Pelodiscus sinensis: one gene and its partner. The protein of the gene in region 1 purifies or fractionates together with the protein of each later gene. This does not show direct contact. Links are inferred from orthologs where the notes say so. Each region holds a gene or a part of one and is shown on either strand. Other genes may lie near its edges.

Evidence for each region. The genes of interacting proteins can lie anywhere in the genome.
Region 2: the proteins of DCP1A (region 1) and PNRC1 purify together in Homo sapiens (affinity purification with mass spectrometry; 3 studies listed by BioGRID and IntAct, with this or other methods). This does not show direct contact. The link is inferred for Pelodiscus sinensis from reciprocal best matches to the Homo sapiens genes DCP1A and PNRC1.

What each region holds. Positions count from the first base shown.
Region 1 is NC_134721.1:30,782,176-30,789,623, reverse strand, and holds the start of DCP1A (mRNA-decapping enzyme 1A), read right to left. Parts: upstream 3,127-7,448; 5' UTR 3,091-3,126; coding exon 2,956-3,090; intron 1,413-2,955; coding exon 1,372-1,412; intron 1-1,371. UniProt on the Homo sapiens protein: Necessary for the degradation of mRNAs, both in normal mRNA turnover and in nonsense-mediated mRNA decay. Removes the 7-methyl guanine cap structure from mRNA molecules, yielding a 5'-phosphorylated mRNA fragment and 7m-GDP.
Region 2 is NC_134713.1:63,879,172-63,886,516, reverse strand, and holds PNRC1 (proline-rich nuclear receptor coactivator 1), read right to left. Parts: upstream 2,814-7,345; 5' UTR 2,658-2,813; coding exon 2,244-2,657; intron 1,750-2,243; coding exon 1,309-1,749; 3' UTR 700-1,308; downstream 1-699. Other genes in the region: BLOC-1-related complex subunit 6-like, read left to right, coding at 3,237-3,836. UniProt on the Homo sapiens protein: Nuclear receptor coactivator. May play a role in signal transduction.

The DNA of each region.
Region 1 (7,448 bases):
AGGTCCCGAACCTGGCGTGAGCCAGGACAGAGCTAGGCTGCTGGCCACCTTGCTAAAAAATTGACTGGCACAGCGAGGCGGCGGGGCGGGGTGAAGAGGAATGCATGTAATCTATAGCAGTGTTTCTCAACCTTTTTTAAAAATAAAGTACCCCTTTTAAAAAAAAATTATAAGTACCCCCAGTACCTACAGTTTTCAAGCACACACATTTTTTTTCTACCACTGCAACACATTTGTTTAAACAACTTAATCGTAGCTGGGTGGGCAATGAAATTTTTGGATGAAAAAAGTACAAAAATAATAAAGCACTGTAAAACTTGAAACAAAAATTCAGTTTTCTCCAAATTTCAGTTGTGTTGATATACCCCCCCAACTTCTCTTGAGTACCCCTAAGGGTACTCAGACCACTGGTTGAGAAATACTGGTCTACAGCATTAACCTACAAGCTTTTACTTATTGGTTAATTTACTATAGCATTACATCCCTATTGGCAGGGCTCGACAAATCGCTATATCTACTCGCCTGTGGCGAATAGATTTCAGCCGGTCGCCCTGTTCACCGGTGCTGTGCGCATGTGCAGTGCTGGTCTGGCGCTTGCAGGGTGTGGGGCTGGCGAGTAGATCTTGCCGTGGTTCGTCGAGCCCTGCCTATTGGCGATGTTAAATTGCATTTAATCAGTTAATCGACTAGTCGATTAGTTGATAATGGGGGAAAACTGCAGAGCCACAGTGGGAGCTAACCCCCCTGTGGCTCTGCTTTTTAAATTTATGAAGACCTGCCAGGCTCGTAATACACTTAAAAAGTTAAAGCGCGCGCGGGGGGGGGGGGGGGGGGGTACAGGACACAAGCCAGGAATTAGCTGCTTACCAGCTCATGCCCGGTCCCCCACTATGCCTCTGCCTCCCCCAGGAGATGGTGCTAGGGGTGAACCGGCTTTTAAGTTAGCTCCCCCAATGCCAACTCCTGCTCCCAGCCCTCTTGCTGCTTCTCTCTGATAGAGGCAGAAGGGCGGAGGAGGGAAAGCGACTAGTCGAGTCACTGGTCGACTAGTTGCTTACATCCCTAATTCCTATCATTAAAAGCACTCAGGAATATATTAGGAAATCAGTTACCAAAATTAATAAAATAACCTAATTACAATTTTTTAATTTCTATGATTCTCTTCATTTTATTCATTTATTTTCTTCAAGACTGTTACTAAAATGTTGTGTGTGCACTTTCTGAAGAGTTATATGTCTAGGTGCTAAATTTCATTTTAAAACATGAAGTTGGATGTGAATTTCTGGTCAAATATCAGAATTAGTTAAAAAGCCAACTTTGATAAAGTCTAAATTTAATAGTTACATATTAAAGCATTTTTGTATGACTTACCTTCTATACACAAATAAGGTACCTTCTATGTCAGTCTTCTCCTACAAGAGACAGCAATTACATCTATTTTAGTGATATGGTTATTCATACAGTTAGGCAGCTTGCATTCTAACAAAAAAATAACTTTTTTAGTACTTTTCAAAGATGCGTGACATCATAAAACTCAGATTTAATCTCATATTTTCAATGAATTGCTAACTTAAGGCAAATATATAAAATTATACATGCTATCTTGTTGATAATAACATTATTCATTTTTTTAGAGAAATTATACATTTCTCATCACTTTCTTCTCCTAACCAGCTTCACTAGAAAAGTCAAACAAATATATTCTCTGTAGTAACCTCATATTCATGTATAGTAATAAAATTTTACTTTGCAAAAAAAAATTTTAAAAGTATCTTGCAATGACAAATTACAATGAGTTTTTTTGGACAATAGCTACAATAGCTATAAATTGAACACACAGCTATCTATATTTTAATTTCATGCTATGCACTGATATCTTGTTTTATATATTAAAACTTAGCTAAAAAGAAAAAAGCCACATGATTTACCACCTGCAAAATAACTTTGGGTTCAACTGGACTATTCACATTACTTAAGTTTTTGCAGGAATAAGATCTCAGAGACCTCGCATGTAACTGCAAACCTCTGTGTCTGACAAGATGTTTTAAAACCTCTTTACATTCATATTAACTTTTTTTTTTTTAGAAATGTAGTGTATATTGATGGTCTTTATTTTCAAAACTGTAGAAAAAGAAAGATATTCTTGAAATTAATCGGAAATTTTATTTCAGAAGAGCAGTCAGTACCAATATTTCTAAAATCCCATACTTTTTGAACTTCAAAATTATCAGCAGGTGGAAAGTGACAACTAGAAAGGTACATAGATACACACACAAATACAAACCGAAAAAACCCTGCAAACAAACACAATTGAGCGTATAAAGCATGTTAGGCAAAACTACTCTATCTGCTTCAATGATAAAAATCAGTGGGGTAGCTATGTTAGTTCTGTCCACCAAAACGAGAGGTCTTGTTTGGGCATACGCTTTCATGGGCAAAATCCCACTTGGTCATATATATCTGACAAAGTGTTTCGTTGCCACAAAGCTTTTGCTCAAATAACTCTATTAATTTCTGGCGTCGGATTTAAATTGTCTCCTCAAACTAAGAACAGTCCGAGATGCTTGGGAGAGGGAAAAGTGTGAAAATTTCAAACTTGTCAAGAGTCACGGCCCTTACCCCGCAAAGCACAGTCCCACAAGCTGAACGGCCTAACCCCTGGGGGCCTCCCGTCCCAGTGTGTGTATAGGTGGGGGGGGGCGGTTCTGGGGCTGCCACTCCCCACTGCTGCGGGGAGTTTTGGTTTCTCTCGTTAAGGGGACAGTGGCTGCCTCTGCGCGCTGGGGATGGGGAGCGAGCGTGTCGGGGTCTATCCCCGGAAATGGGGGGAGGGCCTGGGCCCAGCTCTCCTCCCCTGGGAGGGCGTGTGGGGGTGTCGGTGTCTCTCCTCTCGGCCCGGGGGAAGGGTCTGCAGCGCTCCTGGGGGAAGGCAGCAGGCCCCGGCTCCCCACTTACCCACTCGTTGGCTTTGGGGCTGAAGCTGTAGAGCGCGACCTGGCCGGTCACGTCGGCGATGCTGGTGATGTAGGGATCGTTCCGCTTTAAGACCGCCAGGCTCATCTCCTGCCCCGCTTTACTCAGCGACTCCATCTTGGATCCCGGGAGGAACCGGAGGGGGTGGGGGAAGGGAGCGAGGACCACGGCGTCACGTGTGCAGCCTTCCGTGTTCTCGCCCGGGCACGGCGGCCTCCGCGCCGTCCGTTCCGCCCTGCTGCCGCTGCGCCCTGGGTTCTGGCTGCGGCTGCCCGGGTAGCGGTCGGGGAGTCGGTTACCTCCCGCCCGCAGCTCCCAAGAAGGGACTGTGCCGGGGGACCCCGGCCCCTCGGAAAGGCATCGCCCTGGGCGTAGTCCTGAAGGGGAGTAGGTGAGGCTCAGGCCTCCCGAGCAACGAGCCGCCCCCAGCTGGGCAGCCGGAGGATTTGTGCCCTTAGTGCCCTGTCTGCACTTGCTGCAAAGTCCCATGTTAGGTAACAGGGTTTAATCCATTGGAGACAACCTGGGAGAGACTGATACCGTCCCCAGACGCCAGAACCAGCAGCATGTACAATACTGACCTCTCCCAGGAGCAATGCAGGACGTTGCCACCACAGCCTCAAGGATTCCTCCATGCTTGGGCCAACAGAGTCCCACCGTTGGCATGAATCCCTGAGGCTGTACGCTCCATTCCAGTAGATATGTGAGCCTGAAGGCGTGAGGGGCCTCTCTTGGACCTGGCTACCCCACATCTTTGCACAGACTCCTAGCCATGTCTTCGACCCTTTGGCTGGGATTCACCAGCTCCAAACAAGGAACTATTGACAACACAGTGGCATTCAAAAGAAAATGATTGTATGAGGTTGTATTTCAGATTTCCTGTGTGCTAGCTCCAGCTCCAACTAAAGTCTCTCAGCACAGGCCTGCAGGAACTGTACAGGGATTCTTCTTGCTTACCAGGATGGCTTTAGCACTTGGTAATGATGCCTAGTCAAGATGAATCTGCTAGGGTGAAGGAGGAGTTGATGGCTGCCTTAAGGCCTTGTCAATTATGTGAGGGGACAAAGTAAGGCAACAGGCACTTACAGCATGAGCCTTTGTGCCTTGCCTTCCTATTCTGTCCCTAAGCTTGTTTCCCTTGAGCTACTGGTCTAGTGGGGAGATTCACATGTCACTGTTTGGGTCAGTCTTTTGACATCTGGATTATCCATGTGTACAGAAACAAACTCATCAGACTCTCTGCAACCTGGTAAGGTAAAGGTTGTTAAACTATAAATGCTTTATAAAAGTTACATTAGTCATTAAAGAGTCAATGTAGGTGATGTAATTTCTTGTATTCAATCAACCTCTGATGGTGAGAGGGACAAGGTTTTAAGCTACACAGAGCTCTTCATCAGGTCTGGGAAAAATACAATGACGAGCTCTGTGCAGCGGGAAAGTGTGACTCTCACCAACTGAAGTTGGTCCAATAAAAGATATCTCACCAACTTTGTTCCAAATATCCTGGGATAGGGTTGCCAACTCTCAGGGACTGGACAGACCAGAAACCATTGCTGTGAATAGTGTTTGGTCTGTCCAGTTGGGAAGATTAGCAACCCGGCATCAAGAGGGCTATAACAACATTAATCATTGACATATGTGGGTAATGCATCTAACGCATGTAGAAGTGGAGCCTCAGTTTATTTGCTTTGATTAGAGCTGGGCTTGATAGATATTACTGTTTATTGAGATAACCTTACTGAATTAGACCAGTGGTTCAACTAGTCCAATATTATGTCTCTGACAGTAGCCAGAACTCCAAATGTGCTTATCTTAGGTATTTACATGGCTCCCATTACATTAGCATCTGAATGTCTTGCAAACTTTATAATGTATTCAGCCTTATATGCAGGGAACTGTGCAAAATATTCATAACATGATTTGAAAACCTCACTTTTTGGGAGGAGGAGATTGCATTTAATTTGTTCTAAGGGAATGGGCTTTATTAGGTGAAAAACCATCATGGTGGTTTTGACCATGTGGCTAGTCAAAGTTTGGAGCCTTGCCAGTTATTGTAGCTGAGTGTAGAAACTGACAATGGAGAATGGTATTTGTTTTGATGAAATCCTGTTTCTTTACAAGGAATGTGCAAAGTCTTGCCTCTTTCTTGATCCCCAAAACTTGAGAGATGCAGTATTGAAAAGTTCACAAGGTGAACCGTACGACGTTCTTAGGCTATCTGTCTCACAGCTAGCAAACAATATTGCCAGAGTTCTGTTGATACAATTTGTGAGGCAGGTGTACAAACTTGTACCAAATTCTGCTTTTCACTATTCTTGCATGATTCCCATTGGGGGCCAGACTGTAAAGTGCACATGTACTGATGATACACAGAATGGATGAACCTTCTCAAACCTTGCATACTCTTAATAGAATGAGAAACTTATTTGCCAGGTACCCCAGAAGTTTTACATTGCTTCAAAGAGCCTGCTGAGTGGGCTGGCTGCACCAGAAGAACAGGCTCATGCATCTTAATGGATGAACCTGTCAAATATTAAAGGAGGGTCTACACACCGCCTGTGGATACAGAAACTGAAGGTAGGATTGTGCCTTCCCAGGACACAATCTCACCTCAAGCAATCCCTGCCTGGGGCACTATTATTCCACATTGTTCTTTACTCAGGGCTCTGTTTATCCGGTACACTCTAACACCAAGCCATGTCTACATAGCAGCACTATTTCGACTTAAGATATGCAATTGATGTAGCTCAAATTGTGTAGCTTCTTTCGGCATTAGCCCTGTTGTGTAGACGTGCCCCAACTGTGTTAACTTTAACGGGGGCTTCCAAAGGCAAGAAATGGCATCTATAATGAGCAAAAATGCTATATATTGTGAGTTAAAGTGACTGAGTACTATTCTGTCCAATATTAATAGGGGAAAACAGGTACTAAAAAGAGAAGACACAAATTATTTGAAAATTATTTTAAACAAAAAGGGTGCCTAGAAAATGTGTACACAGATTCAAAATCCTTTTGAAGTATGGATCTCAGTGATGATTCTAAGCACTGCAACAAATAGGATGACCCTTGTCTTCATGTCAAGCTTGGACAAGCGTGGTCTAAAGCAAACCTTGCTTTCAAACTACAGGCAGTCCCCGACTTACGTGGATCCGACTTATGTCGGATCCGTAGTTACAAACGGGGCTTTTCTCGCCTCGGAGGACGCGGGCGGCGGGACCGCCCAGATGCGCTGCGGTCCCGCCGCCCGCGTCCTCCAGGGCGAGAAAAGCTGCTCCGCGTCTCCCTGGTCTGCTGGGGAAGTGCCCCCAGCAGACCAGGGAGATGCGGAGCAAAGCCTCGGAGGACGTGTGCGGCGGGACCGCCCAGACGCGCCGCGGTCCCGCTGCCCGGGTCCTCCGCGGCTTTGCTCCGCATCTCCCTGGTCTGCTGGGGGGGGGCCCCCCCAGCAGACCAGAGAGACGCGGAGCAAAGCCGTGGAGGATGTGGGTGGGACCGCGGCGCGTCTCGGTGGTCCCGCCGCCCGCGTCTCCCTGGTCTGCTGGGGGGAGGGGGACGCAGCTAGTGCGCACCCCCCCCCCAGCAGACCAGGCTTTTCTCGCGATGCCTGGGGTAGAGCAGCTGGGGTGCTGCCCGGTTGGTCCCGCAGCGCCGCTCCTCGGCGCTACTGGACCAACCCGCCAGCACCCCAGCTGCTCTGCCCCAGGCGTCCTGATTCAGCCGCTGCTGGTCAGTTTCAGCAGCAGCTGAATCAGGACGCCTGGGGCAGAGCAGCTGGGGTGCTGCTGGGTTGGTCCAGTAGCGCCGAGGAGGGGCGCTACTGGACCAACCCGGCAGCACCCCAGCTGCTCTGCCCCAGGCGTCCCCAAGTCAGCCGCTGCTGAAACTGACCAGCGGCTGACTACAGGAAGCCCGAGGCAGAGTTGCTCTGCCCTGGGCTTCCTGGAATCAGCTGCTGATCAGTTTCAACAGCGGCTGACTTGGGGACACCTGGGGTAGAGCAGCTGGGGTGCTGCCAGGTTGGTCCCCGCAGCGCTGAGGTGCGGCACTGCGGGGACCTACCCGGCAGTGCCCCAGCTGCTCTGTCCCAGGCATCCAGATTCAGCCGCTATTGAAACTGATCAGCGGCTGATTCCAGGAAGCCCAGGGCAGAGCAACTCTGCCTCGGGCTTCCTGTAGTCAGCCGCTGGTCAGTTTCAGCAGCGACTGAATCTGGATGCCAGTTCCGACTTACATACAGATTCAACTTAAGAACAAACCTACAGTCCCTATCTTGTACGTAACCCGGGGACTGCCTGTAATGCAATGAGAAGATCTTGACAAAGTGCAGCCTTCTGCAATGCCAGATCTTCTTTACTGCATCTTGAATTAAAAGTGAAACATGAAGAGCACTGATAATAGAATCAAGTGGGAGTTTTGGTTCGTGGATTGTTGTCCTCCATCATCTTTTACCCCAGTTCAACACTCAAGTGGGTTTG
Region 2 (7,345 bases), on another chromosome or scaffold:
ACACAGAGCCCTGGATCCACCCAGCATTCCCAGGATCCACCCAGCATTTCAAAGCAGCAGCAGTGCACTGAGCCCAGAATTAGCTGGGGAGTCCCTAGCAGACCCCGGGCTTCACCAGCATTTCAAAGTAGCAGCACCCCGGCAACCCAGCATTAGCTGGGGACTCTCCAGCTGACCTCGGCCTCAGTGCAGCACTGACTCAAATACCCCCCCCTTTTCTCTCCCTCCCTTGCTGCCTCTGATAGAGGTAGCAGGGGGCGGGGGAAAACAGTGACTGGTCGAGTATCCTGTCACCTAGTCCTTTACATGTCTACTATAAACTGGGACAAATTTAGTTTTCCCATCTTAACTGGTTTGAGATAGCTGTCACCTACAAACCATTGTTAGCACCATCCTGTCCTCACACCAGTCGTCTTTAATTCTAGCTAATTTTAATGACTGTTCTTACTATATAAATTGTAACAATTTTGGTTTGAGTGCTGCATTCTTGTTATGATACTCAAACTTAACTGAGGGAAATTTTAAAAACAACATCCATCAAAACTTTCAATAAACCACTATTGCTGATTGAGTAGGATTTAATTTGGTATGAGTAAGAAACTGGAATGAGGGTTAATAGAGCTTGAAATGTTGTTTCAAAACTAATGAAAGCTTAAAAAAAATCTAGGTACAATACACTCACGCAAGAGACAGACATGCTTGAGGGGAGGCCAAATTATTTTATTTATTTTTTGTTAAAGTAACCAATTATATTTATGGCAAAAAGCTCTGCTCATCTTTAGGAAGCAGTGCTCAGATTGATGGGTTTAGGTTCTTCGCTCAAATTCCAAAATTAGCTTTGTAACAAAGGGATGAACAAGAATTCCAAATATTATTTCCAGAGCAGAGAGCAACAATTCACATCTGGATGAAAACTTCATGTTTACAATAGATTGTGCCATAGACTGCAAAACTTTTCAGTAGTGCATTAAGCCTTTCACAGTTGAATCTGAACCTTGAGATTAAAAAGCATAGTTTTCTCCTTCAAAATTTCATTACCTTGTGCAAATTAGTCAAGTCTCTCCATGGGTGGAGCACACATTTAAAGCTGTCCATATTTTGGGCAGTGCAAAATACAACTTCATAAAAAAACTAAAATGTACCTCTTAAAGTATGAACAAGAATATACACATTTTACATGATTTACATTATTTACATATAAAAAATACAAAAGTTTTATTGTAGAGAAGACTTGACAGTCCTTTTATACTTCATGTTGCAACAAGGCTAATTTCAATTTCCTGGATGGAGTCCCATAAGTCTCATGAGCTATGCTTGAACTTTCAGCAGAGTTTTTAAATGGACTGCCATCAGCTCCTTATTTTGGTCAGAATATTCAACAGTGCATCCTACCCAATGACTAGGGGGCTTAGGAAGGACACTAGGAGATGGCGGGTCACTAAACTTTGCTCCAGCGTAACTTTCTTTTTGGTTCATTTCAGTTGGAGAGCCAGGTTTCTTTGATTTCATGTTTCTGAAGCTCTCTGTTGTCAGCAGCTTTTTCTCCTGTTTGTCAATGATCTCAGGTGACACAGAAAGCTGCCAAAAGTTATTTTCAGTTTTTTTCACAGGTGCGATCTTGGTTAGCGGCATGTTACCTTTGTTCTTCTGTTTGTTACTCTTGGACTGCTCACCCAGGTGTGTGCTATGAACAGGCTGGCAGTGCGGAGCGGGAGCCTTTTCAGGCTTTCCCATCTTGTTCTTCAAGAACTGCAGGAACAGACATTCAGGTAAATGCAGTACTCGGCCATCTACGCGTCCGCGTCGAAGAACCGCAGCCCAGCGCCGGAAAAACATGCCCTCCGCTTGCTCCGCATCCCCGTATCGCTCTCCCCGCCGCTGCCCCTCCACCCACTCAGCCAGACGAGGAGTCACGCGGGGCTAAATAAGTCACCGGGAGCCCCGCCCCCCTCCCCGGCCACACCCCCTCCCCCATGCCGGCGGGCGCGGCTGTAGTGACCGTGGCAGCCGGGCGCCTCCTTGGGGCGCTGCGCTCCGCACACGTCACCCCCGGGCGCGCCGCCACCAGGCTAAATCCGGCTGTTGCTGGGCGCCGCAGCCACTCTCATTGGTGGAGTCCCACAGCCAATCAGTGCGGGCTGCACCGCTCCCTGCCCCGAGAGAGCGTAACGGAAACTTCCCCTCCCCCCACGGCCGAAACCGGGGCAGGCGGGGATCCGCGGCGCGCGGACCCTCCCCCCTACCTCCTTCCTGAGGGGCTTGCTGGGCGCCGGTCGGGGAAGGGCCGATGTGGGGGGCTCCTCAGCCGGGACGAGGGGAACAGCCGCCGGTGCTGGGAGAGTGCGAACCTCGCCCGCGCCGGGGGCTGCCAGCGGGGCCCTTCTGCCCAGGCCCGCGCGGTGCTGTTGGTACTGCTGGTAGCGGCTCGGTAGCAGCCCCGAGGGGCTGGGCCGGATCTTTCCTTTTCTCCGCCTCACGCGCTTCAGTGCGGGCCGCGCGCTGCCCCCCTGCCCCGCCAGGCAGCAGCTGGCCTGGGTCTCGCAGTTGTTGTCCCCCCGCATGAGGCGTTGGAAGAGGCTGGGCGGCAGCCGTCGGGCGTCCTCGGTGCCTGCCGAGAGCCGCGCTAGGAAGGGCGGCGGCGCCGTGGTGGTGACCATGACGGGAGTCGGGTGTTCGGAGCCGCGCAGGGGGTCAGGGCGCTGGGAAGTGGCCGCGAAGCGTCCGCAGGGACTTTGTCGGCTTCGAGGGAGACGAAACCTCAGATCCGCTGCTAGGAGAACATGGCGGGGGAGTGAGAAGAGCGACGAGCAGCGCCCCAGTGTTGTTACTGGAGCGGCCCACACCCCCTTCCGCCGCCGCACCAATCAGCGCCAGCCTGGCGCGGCGAGTGACACGCCTGTCTTGGGTAAGGACCAATCCGAAGGGTTTGGGTGCGTAATAGGCCCGCCTTCGCCAATCCAGAAGGACACAAACACTGCGAGACACGCCCCCTTCATATCGCCTCCAATCAGGAGAGAAACAAACAACGAGGCACGTCCCCTACCCTCAGAACCGGGGAAGCAGAACTAGGCCAAGTTTTCACTCGGCTCGGCCGGGATGCGCGCACAACGGAACACGCCCCTTTCATACGCGCTAGCCAATCAAGAGAGGCAGAAACTTTGAGGCAGCGCACGCGCCTTATCGTCGCAACAGGTCCAGGCGGGCGGGCGCGCGCGCGCAGGGATTCGCAGGCGATTATGGCGGAGGGGCGCCGCACCGTGCCCGCGGAGATAGATGAGCGCGGGCAGCAGAGTTGCCCGGCCCGGCGGCGGCGGGCCGAGCGGAGTCTGGAGGCGCTGGGCCTCGAGTGCGGAGCGACCCTCGCTGGAGCGCGGCAGCCGGGGAATCGCAGAGCCACTATCGCCTGCGCGCCGGAGCTGGAGGGGGCCGTGCGGCGCGAGGGCCTCCTCACCCACTTCGTGGCCAGTAGCCTGCAGCGGAAGATGCATCTCGGCGCGCCCGGGGGCGCCGCCAGCCGCATCCCCCCCGTGGACCCCGCGGCGCTGCGGGACCTGGTGGCGCGGGCCGCGCAGGTGGGCGCGCAGGTGGACGAGCTGCTGCGCAGCGTGCACTGCGGCCTGCAGGCCCTGACCGCCCTGAGCGTGGGCTGCATCCACACCTACCGTGACGGCGTGGAGAGCCTGGGCGAGGCCGTGGACACCAGCATCCGAGCAATGTACACGCTGGTGGCGCGGTGCGAGGAGCTGGACCTGGCAATGCAGCCCGTGCGCACCTTGGCCAGGCGCATCAGTGACATGAAGGGCACGCTGGACCGGCTAGAGGGGCTCTGCAAATAGCCCTCGAGGTGGCCTGTAACCCCTCGGACAATGCCTCTGAGGCCCCGCCACCGAGCAGCGGCCGGGCTGTTCAAACACAACGTGCCTCATCCGACAAGTCCTCTCCAGCAGGAGGCTGATGACAAGACCCTGGATTGATACTTGAAAGTTTTGAAAGCATGTTGTACTCACCTGCCTTGATCTCCGAGGCGGGGAATGGCTTCCTCAGCTACTAAAACTTGAACTGCTATTTTTGTTGAATGTTTTCTTCTGAAATACCAATTAATAGTTCCACTAAACTTAAATAAAAATTTGCTATTTTTTTTCTGTGATTTCCATTCTAAGACTGAGGTGTTGTCAATTCTATCCTCCAGACATAACTGTTTCCAGAGGTGCCACAGTCTGTTTTCTTTCACTTTTTTCAGCACTTTTGAGATCATCTTATGCATAAAAACTGTTGCAGAATGGAACTTAGAGGGCCTTTAAGACTTCTTTTGGCTGAAGGAACAAATAGTAGATTTGGTATACTAATTCACATTTGTGGGACTAGTCAGAGATACTATTTAGCGAAGTTTAAAATTCAGTTATATACATAATTTCTATTTTAAATGAGGTCATTTTGATAGTCCCCTTACTTTCTCAGCTTCATTTTGGGGTAGTTCTAGCATATAATAGTTTACACAATACAAGACTTGAAAAATAACTAAGATTCTCATTTGGGTTAAGATGGTATGGAAAACAGGCTTTAACTGTTTCAGGGAAGAAATCAAAGTGGGAATCGAACTGGTTTTAATTAGCAACATCTTATAAAATTCTAGGACGAGGAAGGAGCAATGTGCCCGCTATTCTTTTCCACCCTGGAGTGGAATGAATTTTCTGATGCACAATACATCACCTTCATATTCATGCACATGGCAAAGTTTATGTGGTCGGGGTAGGACAAGGAGTTCTGAATGTGGGCAGAGGGTTAGGGTGCAGGAGTGTGGGCTCTGGTTGCAGGCTCCTGGGAATGGCTGGGGTTGAGGGGCTTGTGGCTATGACAGAGGGTTGGTGTATAAGGATTCTGGCTGGAGGTGTAAGCTCTGCGATGGGGCTAGGTATGAAGGGTTAGGGGTGCACAAAGGCAGGGCTCCAGGTTTGGAGAAGGGCTCTGGGATGGAGGTTGGTGTGCAGGAGGAGGTACAGGCTCTGGGATGGGGGTGTAATCTTTGGAGTAGGGCGGGGGACTTGAGGGTGTGGGGAGGCTCAAGGTGGGGCAGGAGATTTGGGACTGGGCATATTTCTAGGGGTAATTGTGCTGGTGGAAGAAGCACCTTTATGCTGAGACTTTCCACAGAGGTCTTGGCTACCTATGTAACCCACACACTTTCTGGGTGTGATGTACTTGTCCCATGCAGTGGCACTTAGAAGACCACTTATAAGAGAGAGAATGAGTATTCTACAACCTTAGTTGAGAGCTAGCTGGCTTTTAACTTAAGCTGTAGAAGCTCATGCACTAAGCTCCAGAGGTCCTAGGTTTGGTTCTACCTGCCGGCATTATACATGTAGTTATTAAAGTTTTAATTCACTTTCATAGAAAGCAGGGTTAGCCTCATCAAATTTTTCTCACTCAAACTTTATTTTCAGTAGAGAAAATAATACTTTATTTCTCTTCCTAGCTATTGGTTTGCTTTCAGTAGCACAGAATTCATGCTGGATTGCATTCCAGAGATGGAACCACTTTATAGTTCCTTGAAACTTTTTAAGCTCTTTGAGTATGTTAGAATAAGTAGTTCTATGTGAATGCAAAATAGTTTTTTATTCTGATGGATGTTACCTACAGGTGAAGTTAGCAACAAGATGAATGTTTGTGAGTAGAGCCCTGAAAATCCATAGATACATGTGGACCTTATTTGCAGATTGAATGAGGGTACAAATTTTGTATCTGTGAAGAGCTCTATTCATGAGTTCTTCTTCACTATCAAGACAAAAGATACATCTACAAGAACCAGTTTTGCTTGGACTTAGCAGTCCTGTCTGCACCTTTTCCTCTTGAATTCTCCCACTGTTACTACAGCACCAATGCAATTTCACCCTTGATAACAATGGCAGGGACATTAGTGTTGATTGACTGTTGGTGTTTTTACCACTGTGCCCTGGGCCTGCCCACACCAAGGCTGTGTCTACACTGCACCCCTTTTCCGGAAAAGGGATGCAGATTAGACCAGTCGGAATTGCAAATCCGCAGGGGATTTAAATATCCCCCGCGGCATTTGCATTTACATGGCTGCCGCTTTTTTCCGGCTTGGGGATACTTATTCAAGGAAAGTAGGAATAAGAAATCCTCCAGAAAAGGGCTTATTTTCCGGAGAATCGCGTCTAGACTGGCACTTTTCTCCGGCTTATCCCCAAACCGGAAAAAAGCAGCAGCCATGAAAATGCAAATGCCGTGGGGGATATTTAAATCCCCCGCGGATTTGCAATTCCGACTGGTCTAATCTGCATCCCTTTTCCAGAAAAGGGGTGCAGTGTAGACACAGCCCAAATGTATACAACACAAGGTAATATAGTGGCTATTGGGCACTTTCAAGGAAAAGTTCATTGCGGATAAAAAACAAATAATAAATGCATAGTGGTCATAAATATAGGGACGGCAATCTGAAGACAAACAGGAGAATACTAAAGGATAACTCTTACTTTTCTGCTGTCTTACTATGTTCCATAATCTTTTGGGGCTGCCTTGTTTCCTGATGTGGACAAATGAGGTCTGAAGTATTTCTTGAGCACAGACTGGCAGAGCAGCTTTGACTTACCACCACCATCTTATCTGCTTTGTCACATGTGCAATGGAATATCTTTGTTAATTTTTGCAGCATGGCCACAGGTCCTGTGATGCCTGATTGTAATGGATGAATTATGTCCCTGTCTCTAATTTAAATTTTAAAAAATCTCTGGAGTGGGAGGTGCTGGACTGTTGATTTCCAAGATATAAAGGTAGTGATTAAGATTATTTAAAGCAAGCTACATTTCTGTTCTTTCCACAACCAACTCTTTTTAGCTTTTTCAATATAGGCCTAAGTTGACCATTCACTTTTTAAATCCACTTGTTATATCCAGATTCCTGTCCTAGATTCATGTCCTGCTCTAATCAGCTTTCTGCTGCCACCAGGCTGACTTGCTGCCATTTGTATGCAGCATATACTAATACAGTTACTGGATAGTAAATAAGTATATTTCTTGGGTGGGTAGACAAGGATACCTTGAACTTTAGAATTGTTTTTTCTAAAATCATATTTCTAGCTAGTTCAGTTAAAGGTTCCTATTTCTCAGTTACTAAAAGAGAACCATGGAGAGCCAGATTCTGTCCTCTGGCTCATTGGGTTTGCAAAGGTCTAAGTGAGGGCAGAAAGTTGACAGGTAAAATTTCAGTACTCATTCTAATGGATTTATCATAGTCCCCACTGCATAATAAAATGTTTCATGCATGCATTTTTATATAGTGCAACTACATTTATTCAGAATGTTTTGTGAGCATAAAATCCCTTAGGAGA